Saccharomyces cerevisiae S288C: one gene and its partner. The gene in region 1 interacts genetically with each later gene. Each region holds a gene or a part of one and is shown in the gene's direction. Other genes may lie near its edges.

Region 1 (4,327 bases):
TTGTAGTTTCGAGAACCTCTTCTTCGGCTGCAAAATCGTACAATTTCCTGATCAGACTCAAATGGTCAGAGTTGATTGTTTTCTGTTTGTTATTCTGGAAGAAAACTAAGATACCGTAGGACAAGTATATCCTAGAAGGGTCAAAAGAGGTCCCTTTTTCCACCAATAATTTCAAAATTTCAAATAATATATCTGATATGCCTTCTGTTGTTTGGGAAAGTAAGTTATTGACAAATAATGAAAGTTTTTCACCATGGGGACAACTGACACCTTTTACATCAAAATAATGAGCGGACATTGCAGCTGGAAGAAGAGTTTTTGTCAATAATGGCAAGTTTGAAGAGAATGCTGACATATTTGTAATCGAGAACATTAACGTCATCATGTATTTTCTGACACTCTCCATTGATGATTTCAATCCCGTAGAAAGCAAGATAAGGCCCCAACTATGGTGTAAATGCTCGTTATCAAAAATTTTTATTATATCTTGTTTGGCCGCTTGTATTTGATTCAATGATGTGTCCAGAGCAATCATTTCATATAAGGTGGTGAATTTCTTCCAGCTACCCAGCATCTCGATATTTGCTAGATCATTGCATTTATAAAATGTTGTTTGCAATGTTATACCATGAGATGACAGTTTTTGAATTGTTAATTTAAGAATTGAGAGTGCCAATTTTCTGTGTTCGTGCACATCATTATCCAGCTCTGTTTGAATGTGCCTCCAATAAGCATCGGTCTTTATATAAGTAATAAGTTCAGGAGACAACTCTGCTGCTAAAAGGAATCTTAGGAGAAAAGATAAACTGTTCTTTTGCTTCCAAGCTTGTTGGGAGCCTTCAGCGTACAATTGTTTGATAAATGTCCAAATGAGCTTATCAAAGTTACTATCGGTATTGCAGCATTTCGATAAATATTTGATATGCCATCTCATTAACTTGGAGCAGGAATCAGCAATCTCTTCCGAATTACAGCCTAACAATGGAACAATGATAAAATCTAGGCATTTGGACGATATACCATTCTTACATTCGTCAAATAAATATACAACTTCTAAGTAGTGAAGCAGGCTAAGGATATCTAAGTGCAGATTTTCATGCTTGATATTAGCGTTTTGTTCCTCAGCAAAAGAATCGAAAAATGGTTGTACAATCTTTTTTCCAAAGTTGTCATTGAAGAGATGTTTATAGTTTTCGCTAATGATGTCATTTAACCGGTAGCTCATCCACACCTGAAATTTATGCCATACACTGGGTAAACAACATAGTAATTGTGCAGAAGTTCTTAGCGCCTTGTTCATTTCAGCCCTCGAAGAGCGAAACATTTCCCTGGCTTCACCGTCTATACTAGCATACGCAATGACCTGCTCAGTAATTTTTTCAAAGATTGGTGTTTCAATGTTGCTGTCCGTCGTTATATCCAGTGGCGAAGTTTCAATCAACTCCAGCACCTCTTCTAAGCTGTCATTCTGAATCAAGTCTGATATAAGCTTTAGTTGCTCTTCGCGTGGTAAATATTTGCAGATGAGAGCACCTCCAACCATTTTGCTGGTAAAAAAAAGGTATAGAGTTTGTAACGTTCGTTAAACAATTCTTTTCACCGGATTTTAATAAGGCTTGGCTTATTTGCTTACTAGCAATTATATAGTTACAATAGTGCTGTTTCAATCTTGCTCATCGCCATGGTGAAACTTTTCGAAAAACACTTGAATTTTCATTCACGTGATCTACATTCCCTTACCCGACAACTCACCCATTGTGCCCCCTTTAAGATATGGCTATTGAGTAAGCCAATATTTATCGATTTACAGCAAGTCATCTCCAAAATGAAGAGATGACTAGCTCGAATACTGGTGGTGCAATTGAACATACCATCTAGAAAAGTTGTCTTCTACAGCACACAATGTCAGACTTAAATGATGTCCAAGAAAATGCTAAATTGAATTCGGAAACTCGGAATACAGGAAAGGCTGAACCACCTCATGGGACAACTGAGTATGTGGCAGAGGCAGAAATTTCTAAGAATGGAGTTGGATCGCCAAAAAAGAGCCCAAAAAAGGGTAAGGTTGGAAAGGGGGACAATAACAAAGTAGAAACTGAGTTAGTACACACAGCCCTGTTAGAAAAAGACAACCCATTCATGGAGGAGGGGCCAACAGGATTCACAAAATCAGCTTTATTAGAAATACCCGGTATGAGAAGCCATAACCTAAAGAACCCGAATGAAGATTACGAGGATGACTCTGAGGGATTATTGCCTTTAAACCAAGAATCGAATGCAGAAACATGTAGAACAAGTCTTAGTGGAAGTATTAACTCCATGAACGGAGAGACCTCTGCGTCAGAAGAACCTTCTGTAAGTAATAGAAAGAAGTCCGCTAGGATACACATACTTGAAGCGAAAAGAGTTTCCGAAGGTCAAGGAAGAGCCTACATCGCCTATGTTATTCAGTTTGAAAATTCTACCGTTCAGAGACGTTACAGCGATTTCGAGAGTTTGAGAAGTATCTTGATAAGATTGTTTCCTATGACGTTGATACCGCCGATTCCAGAAAAGCAGTCAATAAAGAATTATGGTAAGTCAATAACTGGTTCGAGTTCAAAGTATTTGCTGCCCTCAGAAGGTTCTGGTTCAGTAGATCTATCATTGTCTGTGATACATGCGTCGGTCAATAATAGTGATGAAAAGTTAATACGGCATAGGATAAGAATGCTCACTGAGTTCTTGAACAAACTTTTGACGAACGAAGAAATCACAAAAACATCTATAATTACCGATTTTTTGGATCCTAATAACCATAATTGGCATGAATTTGTTAACAGTTCGTCCACTTTTTCATCTTTACCGAAGAGCATCCTCCAGTGTAATCCACTAGATCCCACTAACACCACTAGAATTCATGCCATGTTACCAATACCGGGCTCCTCGTCACAGTTATTGTTGAATAAGGAGTCCAACGACAAAAAAATGGATAAGGAAAGAAGTAAGTCGTTTACTAATATTGAACAGGATTACAAGCAATATGAGAACTTGTTAGATAACGGGATTTATAAGTATAATAGACGAACCACGAAGACTTATCACGATTTGAAATCGGATTACAATGAAATCGGTGAGGTATTTGCACAGTTTGCCCATGAACAGGCTCAAGTTGGGGAATTGGCCGAACAGCTTTCTTACTTAAGCAATGCCTTTTCGGGGTCCTCGATTTCTTTAGAAAAATTAGTTGGAAGACTATACTACAATATAAATGAGCCTTTAAATGAATCTGTTCATATGGCAACTTCTGCAAGAGAATTGATCAAATACAGAAAATTGAAATACCTGCAAAATGAAATGATTAAAAAGTCTCTGAATTCCAAAAGAGCACAGTTGGAGAAGCTGGAAGCGCAAAACAATGAATATAAGGATGTTGACAAAATAATTGACAACGAAATGTCTAAAAGTCATACTATTAATCTGGAACGCCCTAATAATAATACAGGTAGCGGTGGGAAATCATATGGTGGCAAACTATTCAATGGATTTAACAAATTGGCATCAATGGTAAAAGATTCTGTGAAGTATCAAGAAACAGATCCGCATACCGCAAGTATCAATTTGAAGAAAGAAATTGAACAACTGTCTGAATCATTGGAAGTTACTGAGAATGATTTGGAGGTCATTTCAAAAGTCATCAAAAATGACCAGCTACCTAAATTTTCTAAAGAAAGGGAAGTAGATTTATCAGAAATTTTAAAGCATTATTCCAGATATATGAGAAATTATGCCCGTCAAAATTTAGAAATTTGGAAAGAAGTCAAAAGACATCAAGATTTTGCATAGTATTATGAGCATTTTTTTTTAGCGTTATAGCATACTTGATATATATATATATAAACAACGTGAAGATCAAATAACGTCAAATGTATTAAATAGACTAAAATATTATGCACTTCTCTTCGGATTTATTGCTCGCGGGCTGGTTGACGTTACATGGTCCATTCCACTGAAATGTTTTAAGAGATGCCTATATGGCCAACTCAAAGTTTTGAAAAAGGGAACTAGGTTCACATAATATGGGGCATTTAGTGTTTGCAGATGATTATGCTCCATCGCAGAGATTATCGCTAGTGCCAGTTGGGAAGGTATGATGTCAGGAGCCAATAACTTAGATGGTGTAGGGACATCAATAAACATATTAGTTTTGATTTTTCCCGGGCACACCAGTAGTGTTTTTATTCCAGTTTTATTACATTCCGTGGACAAACTTCTGAAATGCCTGCTCATACACTTGTGAAAACCAATCATTGCTCCTTTTGATGCACCATACGATGTCAGCCTTGCA
Region 2 (6,628 bases), on another chromosome or scaffold:
AGCCTCCTGATTCCCACTGAGGAGGAAACGTTCGAGTGCAAGACCCTTTTAGGTACATTTGCATTATGATTTTCGTCATAGTTGTCGCCATCTGCCAGCATAGGCACTGGCACCAAGCCGAACTGGTTAAGGTCCAAACCTTTAAAGTTATCAGTTAACAAGCAGTTGTTGTTTTCATCACACAGAAGCAAAGCTTTCCAGAGCCAGCCTCTACTATTTTCTTTAAAGATAGAGTCATGGTAGAGTTCACCTTTCCAAATTCCCTTCTGCACCAGTTGGTCTCTTGTCTCGTAGTGGTCAATCGCCCATTGTAAGACATCCTTCATGGTTGCATAAGCGAAAAAATACAAACGCACGACAGCTAACCCTCTCTATGTATGCCAATTCTCTTGACAACTCTCCCCCATTGTTCTGAAAAAGGTAATGAAATTAAACGCTGCTGTACCGATTATGGAAAACTCAATGGAAAAATTGAAAAAAAAAAAAAAAGGAACTAGTAATGCCGTAGGAGAAGCGGGTAACATAATATCCGGTTTTCCTTTACGACCGCTTACAGGCCTAAACCAGCGCACCATCCAGTTACAATAACACTTGGAGCATGCGTACACGTGTGCGTATTCTACGGCTGGCATGGGCAAAATAAGACGTGGAATTTTTCTGTGGTCAGAACTTTGCGTCAGTAAATAATTCAAGAAAAAATAATAATTATGTCGAAAAAAAAATAGAAAAAAAAGAAAAAAAGAATACTAAAAGGTGAGTGTTCAGGAAAACCGCAAGCCATGTTTGTTGATTATTCCGGACTGGAGCGTTACACGGATATAAATGCATCTTTTGGTAAGTTGGTCAACACTTACTGCTGTTTTCAGCGCTGTGAAGCCATCAGCGAACAATTGGAGATTCTGAAAAGTCTAGTACCAAAGTGCCACGACATTGTGGCACTTACTGACGAAGACTTTGCTAGTGGCCGTACTGCCGGACTGACGCAGAAATTGTTTGCTATGGCGATGACCCTACACCAGATCACCGACTGTATCGACCTCCTGCAGAAATGCAACACCATAATACCCATCGAGATCGCCAACCCGGCTAGCTTTGAAAGCGGCGCCGCGACGGCGCCGCTACGTCAAAGCTATGCTAGGCTCTTGGATGACTGGTCCCACTACATGGGCCCATCAACGGTAAAACACACAGGCTGTACCAACCGACCCAAGTGGAGATTTCCCTGGCAACAGTCACGGACTATCATCATCCCCATGCTGTTTATTGGCGAAACTGCAATGAGCACCAGGGACCTAAGGTCTGTGCTGCATGATTGTGAGATCAGGCACGCGAGCGAAATGCCGCTGCAGCTACTTTGGACGTCGTCACCGGAGTTGGTGTACGCCACACCGCATGTTGACGACTACGACATTTGGTCGCGCTACGGGTCTGATTACAACATGCAGATAGAGGACGAAGACGAAGCATCAAAAGGGCGACAGCGCAAGTGTGTGGTGCAGTTGGAGGCACTGTTGGGTGCGCTACCTACTACGGACCCGTTGTTCCAATGGTAGCCCGGGCCTTTTTTTTTTTCATCAGCTTCTCTTTTAGGCCGTCGGCCCCGTTCGATGTTCACCCGTCCTGGACAGCTTGCTCTCCCCCCTTCCTCGTGCTGCGCGACTGTTTACGTTATTGGCTTATTGTATTGTTTTCGCATCTAGAACGTTCAGGTTCAATTTACGCAACGGTGTTTCACTCGAAGCATCTGGCTGTACAAGCAAATGCTGCGTTCTCATTCTCCTTTATATAACAAGCTTCTGCCTTAAAGCGTTCATATGTACATACATATACACCACTCAGGCACTCGCATAATCGCACTTAAATACGCAAAATATACAAGATAGCCCTACAACTGCTCCATGGACTCCAAGGACACGCAAAAGTTGCTTAAGGAGCACCGAATCCCCTGCATCGACGTTGGATGGTTGGTCAGGCCCAGTGCCTCCACCAGCAAGAGCTCCAGACCAGGGAAATCCGAGTCCAAGGCCAACAGTGTGGCTCCTGACATCCAGATGGACACTGCTCGCCCGCCCGTTTTCGAAACGTCTGTAGACTCTTCCAGCAGCATTCTTTCTTCAAACGATAAGGGACGCCGTCACTCCGTAGCTGCGAGCTTGCTAATGGATAATCAGCGTGCTAACGCTGGGTCTACATCCGTTCCCACAAACATTCCTCCCCCTAGGGGTAGGTCGAAGTCAGTGGTGGAGACTAACCTGTCTAACGTTGAGGCTGACTCCGGACATCATCACCACCACCGCCACCACCATCACACGGAAGATGCTCCTGCACCTAAGAAGGTCGGATTCTTTAAGAGTCTGTTTGGCCATAGGAAGAAGGATCAGGAACAACAGGAGAAGGAACGAGAAAGGAAAGAGCGCTCACCCTCTCCGACTCACGTGGACCGTGGCGCGGCCATAAGAAGAGAAAGAACGGCTACCATATCTGCGGAATCACCACCGCCTTTGCAGTACAATGCTCCACCCTCTTATAACGATACTGTGGTACCGTTAACAAGATCCAAGACGGAATCAGAAGTGTATTACGAAAATCATCCGCAAAGCTACTACCATGGCCGTATGCGCACATACCACTCACCAGAAGAGGGTAAAGTCGACGGAACTTCCCCCGCAGACGATCATAACTATGGCGGCTCTCGACCTGATCCTAGATTAATGGATTTCTTGCGCTACTACAAATCTAAGGATTACAAATTAGCCGCCTTCAAAGAAGGGAACTTTATTAAGTCATCTGCGTCTCCCACAACCAAGAAAAATAGACGCGCTTCGTTCTCATTACATAACGACAAACCACAACCTGCCAAATCACTTGCTCACCAGAAATTTGACGCTAAGGGAAGACCCATTCCGCCGCATCCCGACGCACCCAAATTGCCTTCCGCCTTCAGGAAGAAGCATCCAAGCAACGCATCGATAGTAGACACAGTGGATTCCAATTCGGACGTTTCCTCGTCAGCGCAGAATAATAATCAGACACCTTCTTCTCATAAATTCGGCGCCTTTTTAAGGAAAGTTACCTCTTATGGGAACAACAACAACAACAGCACCAATGCCTCCTCCCTTTCTGCAAACGTCAATAATCCAGACACCTCATCGACGTCCCTATGGTCTTCTAGTTCAATGGAGTTCGACCCTTCAAAGATAACCACCGTCCCCGGCCTCGAGAATATACGGCCCTTGAAACACGTCTCCTTTGCTACGAACACCTATTTCAACGATCCTCCACAACAAATATGCAGTAAAAACCCTCGTAAAGGTGAAGTGGAAGTGAAGCCTAATGGATCTGTTGTCATTCATAGGTTGACTCCGCAAGAACGCAAAAAAATCATGGAATCGACTAGTTTGGGTGTTGTCGTTGGGGGGACCGGGCAATTAAAACTATTAAATCCCGAGGAAGACGACGCAAATGCCAAGAGTAAAGAGGAGATGGCCCCTCAAAAGCAGAACGAAGTGGAGGCACACGACGAGGAGGATAACAATTCTCAAAGGAGAAACATCGTTATGGCCGCTGCAGAAGCTGCTGCAGAGGCCAGAGCCAAAGAGGCACCTAACGAATTGAAACGTATCGTGACCAACAATGAAGAAGAAGTCACTGTCAGTAAGACCGCCAGCCATTTGACCATCGATAAGCCAATGATTTCAAGAAGGGGTGCTTCCACATCCTCTTTGGCCTCCATGGTGTCCAGTGATACCAACGGTACGAACGCAGATGATGAAGGAGAAATTCTTCCCCCACCTTCTTTGAAGATACCTCACGACATTGTGTATACCCGTTGTTGTCACTTGCGAGAAATTCTGCCCATACCAGCCACATTGAAGCAATTGAAAAAGGGCTCGACGGACCCTATCCCCATCTTACAGTTACGTAACCCAAGACCTTCTATGGTGGAAATTTGGTCGTTCAGCGATTTCTTGAGCATTGCTCCCGTTTTATGTCTTTCGTTGGACGGTGTACAATTAACCGTGCAAATGCTTAGAATAATTTTGAGTTCGCTGGTTTACAAACAGCATTTCCAAAAACTTTCTCTAAGAAACACCCCCTTGGATGAAGAAGGATGGAAAGTTCTGTGTTATTTTGTCTCCAAGGCCAAGTCTCTGCACTCTATTGATTTGACAATGGTCCCTTCCATCAAGACAAATGTACAAAAGCCTTCTAAATCTTCTTTGAAGTCAAAAATTCTGAGAATGCAATGCAACTTGGAAAATAGATCCGACATGAACTGGGACCTTTTGACAGCTTCTATTGCCCTCATGGGCGGTTTGGAGGAAATTGTCATTTCCGGGGCCAAGATGAATTCTGCACAATTCAAAAACTTCATCCTCGTTGCTTGTATAGCAACCGAGAGATTGGGCCTCGCGTATAATGGATTATCTAAGAGCCAATGTGATGATTTGGCCAAGTGGATGGTTCAATCAAAAGTGACAGGTCTAGACGTTGGTTTTAACGATTTGAATGGCAAACTTTCCTCTTTCACCGATGCTGTTTTAGGCAAAATACAAAAAGCTAACGAGAAAAACGTCTTCAAATTTTTATCTCTAAATGGGACAAATTTGAGAGTGAACGAACACGACACTTTTGAGAATAACGAGGTCTTAAAACTGATAAGCGTTTTATGTTATTTGGAAAATTTAAAATTCTTGGATATATCGAACAATCCTGCCATCTTCCCCCACTGTGTTCCGACGCTGATTGATTTTTTACCTGTTTTTGTTAATCTTGTCCGTCTGCATATCGACTACAATAATTTAAGTTCCACGAGTGTAGTGATGCTGGCCGAAATATTACCCATGTGTTCAAGATTGAATTATTTTTCCATGTTAGGAACGGAATTGGATTTGGCATCGTCTAAAGCTCTAGCAGAGGCGGTGAGGAAAAGTTCATCTTTGATGACTTTGGACGTGGACTATGTGTATATGCCAGAGAACATTAAGGAAAAAATTTCATTATATGCTTTAAGAAATATTCAAGGGGAGTTGAAAAGGGTTAATAGTGACGATAAAGATATCAAAGATAGCCAATTTTCAAGCCTACAGGACCAACTATCACTTTTATTAACTGAAAAAGCGGATAATTCCGAACATTACAACAAAATGGTTGAGAATTTCATGGCCAAAATCGCGTTGGCACGTATCAAGATTAGTAAAGTGGTTCATGATCTTTTTGATTTAAAACTGAATGGACAATTAAATTTGGAAGGTAAGGAAGCTTTGATTAGATTATGCTTCATAGAGGCAAGTTTGGAAAGAGGCTGTGACCTGCTGAAACAAAGACATAACAACACTTTGAAATCACCAGAGGCCGTCTCAAAAAGTCGGAAAGGGGGAAATCAAGCACAACCCAATTCCGAAAGCTGTCAAAGAATGTTACTAAGCTCATCTATATTACAAAATTCAGATCATATTGCGCTTATGCCATTCGGTAGTGCAATAGTCGAAAAGTCAAGCCCAGATGCAGAAGATGCCGTCGAATTCAGAGAAGGTGACGACTCCAACGTAAATCACGAAGACGTACCAGCAAATGATCAACAATTTCGAGATGAAGTTGATATCAAAAACAAATACTCTATCATTAAAAGAGAACTAGAACACGAAAAGCTTGTCGGTGGTGGCGATTTGCCAGTGGACAAAGAAATCTTAAATCGTGCCGCACAATCCTTAGATAGTGACCAGATAAAGGAATTTCTGTTGAAGAATGACGTCTCTACTATCCTTGGCGTCATTGATGAACTGCATAGCCAAGGGTACCACTTGCATCATATTTTCAAAAAACAGGGAAACCAAGAAGAGACCGCGTTCAGAACAAAGGATGAACAACAGTCCTCCCAATCCAATGATTCAAGTGCTAATGCGTCCCCTACCACTGATCCGATATCCACAGGCTCCAATACTTCTAGAACGAACGATAATGCTCATATTCCTCCGACCGATGCGCCTGGATTTGATAAATTTATGAACAATGCAGAGGAAAATGCCATTGACGCTGCTTATGATGATGTGCTAGACAAAATCCAGGATGCGCGGAACAGTAGTACTAAATAATAAGGGATTTCTCTTAATTTTTTAATCTCTTTTTTGTATTGGGTTTCGAAAATATAATAAGGAGCCCTCAGACATTTACGTATCCTTTCATGTATGATTATTTTAAGTATTTTGTATTTTTTATTATTATTAATGTAAGCATAATGCTTTTGTAGAACTTGAGACAACCCGGACGGGTCCGATGAGTTTTTTTCTTCAAACTTTTATAGAAAATAATAAATGGTGTTAGCACCACTCAGATGTGATATTTGACGTGTCGATTGTGATACCTGAAGACGCTATTGGAGAGCCATTGCAACGCACAGTCCAACAGTAATAAGCTCTGATCGTTTTGAAAAAGTATGTTTCTTTCCATTGGACGGTTGTCTTCCGATCAAAATTTTATCTCCTATACAATTTCTTCCTATTTACTAACGAAAACCTGCGAACCTGTAAACTACATGATTTTTAATATTAGTGAACTTCAATACACCTCAACAAAACAAAACGCCCTTTTCGTTCGGGACTGCCAACAATAACTCTAACACCACCAA

Evidence for each region. Genes that interact genetically often act in the same process or in processes that back each other up.
Region 2: mutations in ATG20 (region 1) and MHP1 together harm fitness more than expected from each alone (negative genetic interaction), as found in Saccharomyces cerevisiae (2 studies listed by BioGRID).

Annotation. Positions count from the first base shown.
Region 1 is NC_001136.10:256,131-260,457, reverse strand, and holds ATG20 (Atg20p), read left to right. Parts: upstream 1-1,902; coding exon 1,903-3,825; downstream 3,826-4,327. Other genes in the region: TRM3 (tRNA (guanosine(18)-2'-O)-methyltransferase), read right to left, coding at 1-1,543; YDL114W (short-chain dehydrogenase/reductase), read right to left, coding at 3,928-4,327. UniProt on the Saccharomyces cerevisiae protein: Required for cytoplasm to vacuole transport (Cvt), pexophagy and mitophagy. Also involved in endoplasmic reticulum-specific autophagic process and is essential for the survival of cells subjected to severe ER stress.
Region 2 is NC_001142.9:359,351-365,978, forward strand, and holds MHP1 (Mhp1p), read left to right. Parts: upstream 1-1,898; coding exon 1,899-6,095; downstream 6,096-6,628. Other genes in the region: GTPase-activating protein GYP6, read right to left, coding at 1-326; YJL043W (uncharacterized protein), read left to right, coding at 780-1,553; FG-nucleoporin NSP1, read left to right, coding at 6,434-6,434, 6,553-6,628. UniProt on the Saccharomyces cerevisiae protein: Essential for the formation and/or stabilization of microtubules. Binds to microtubules in vitro.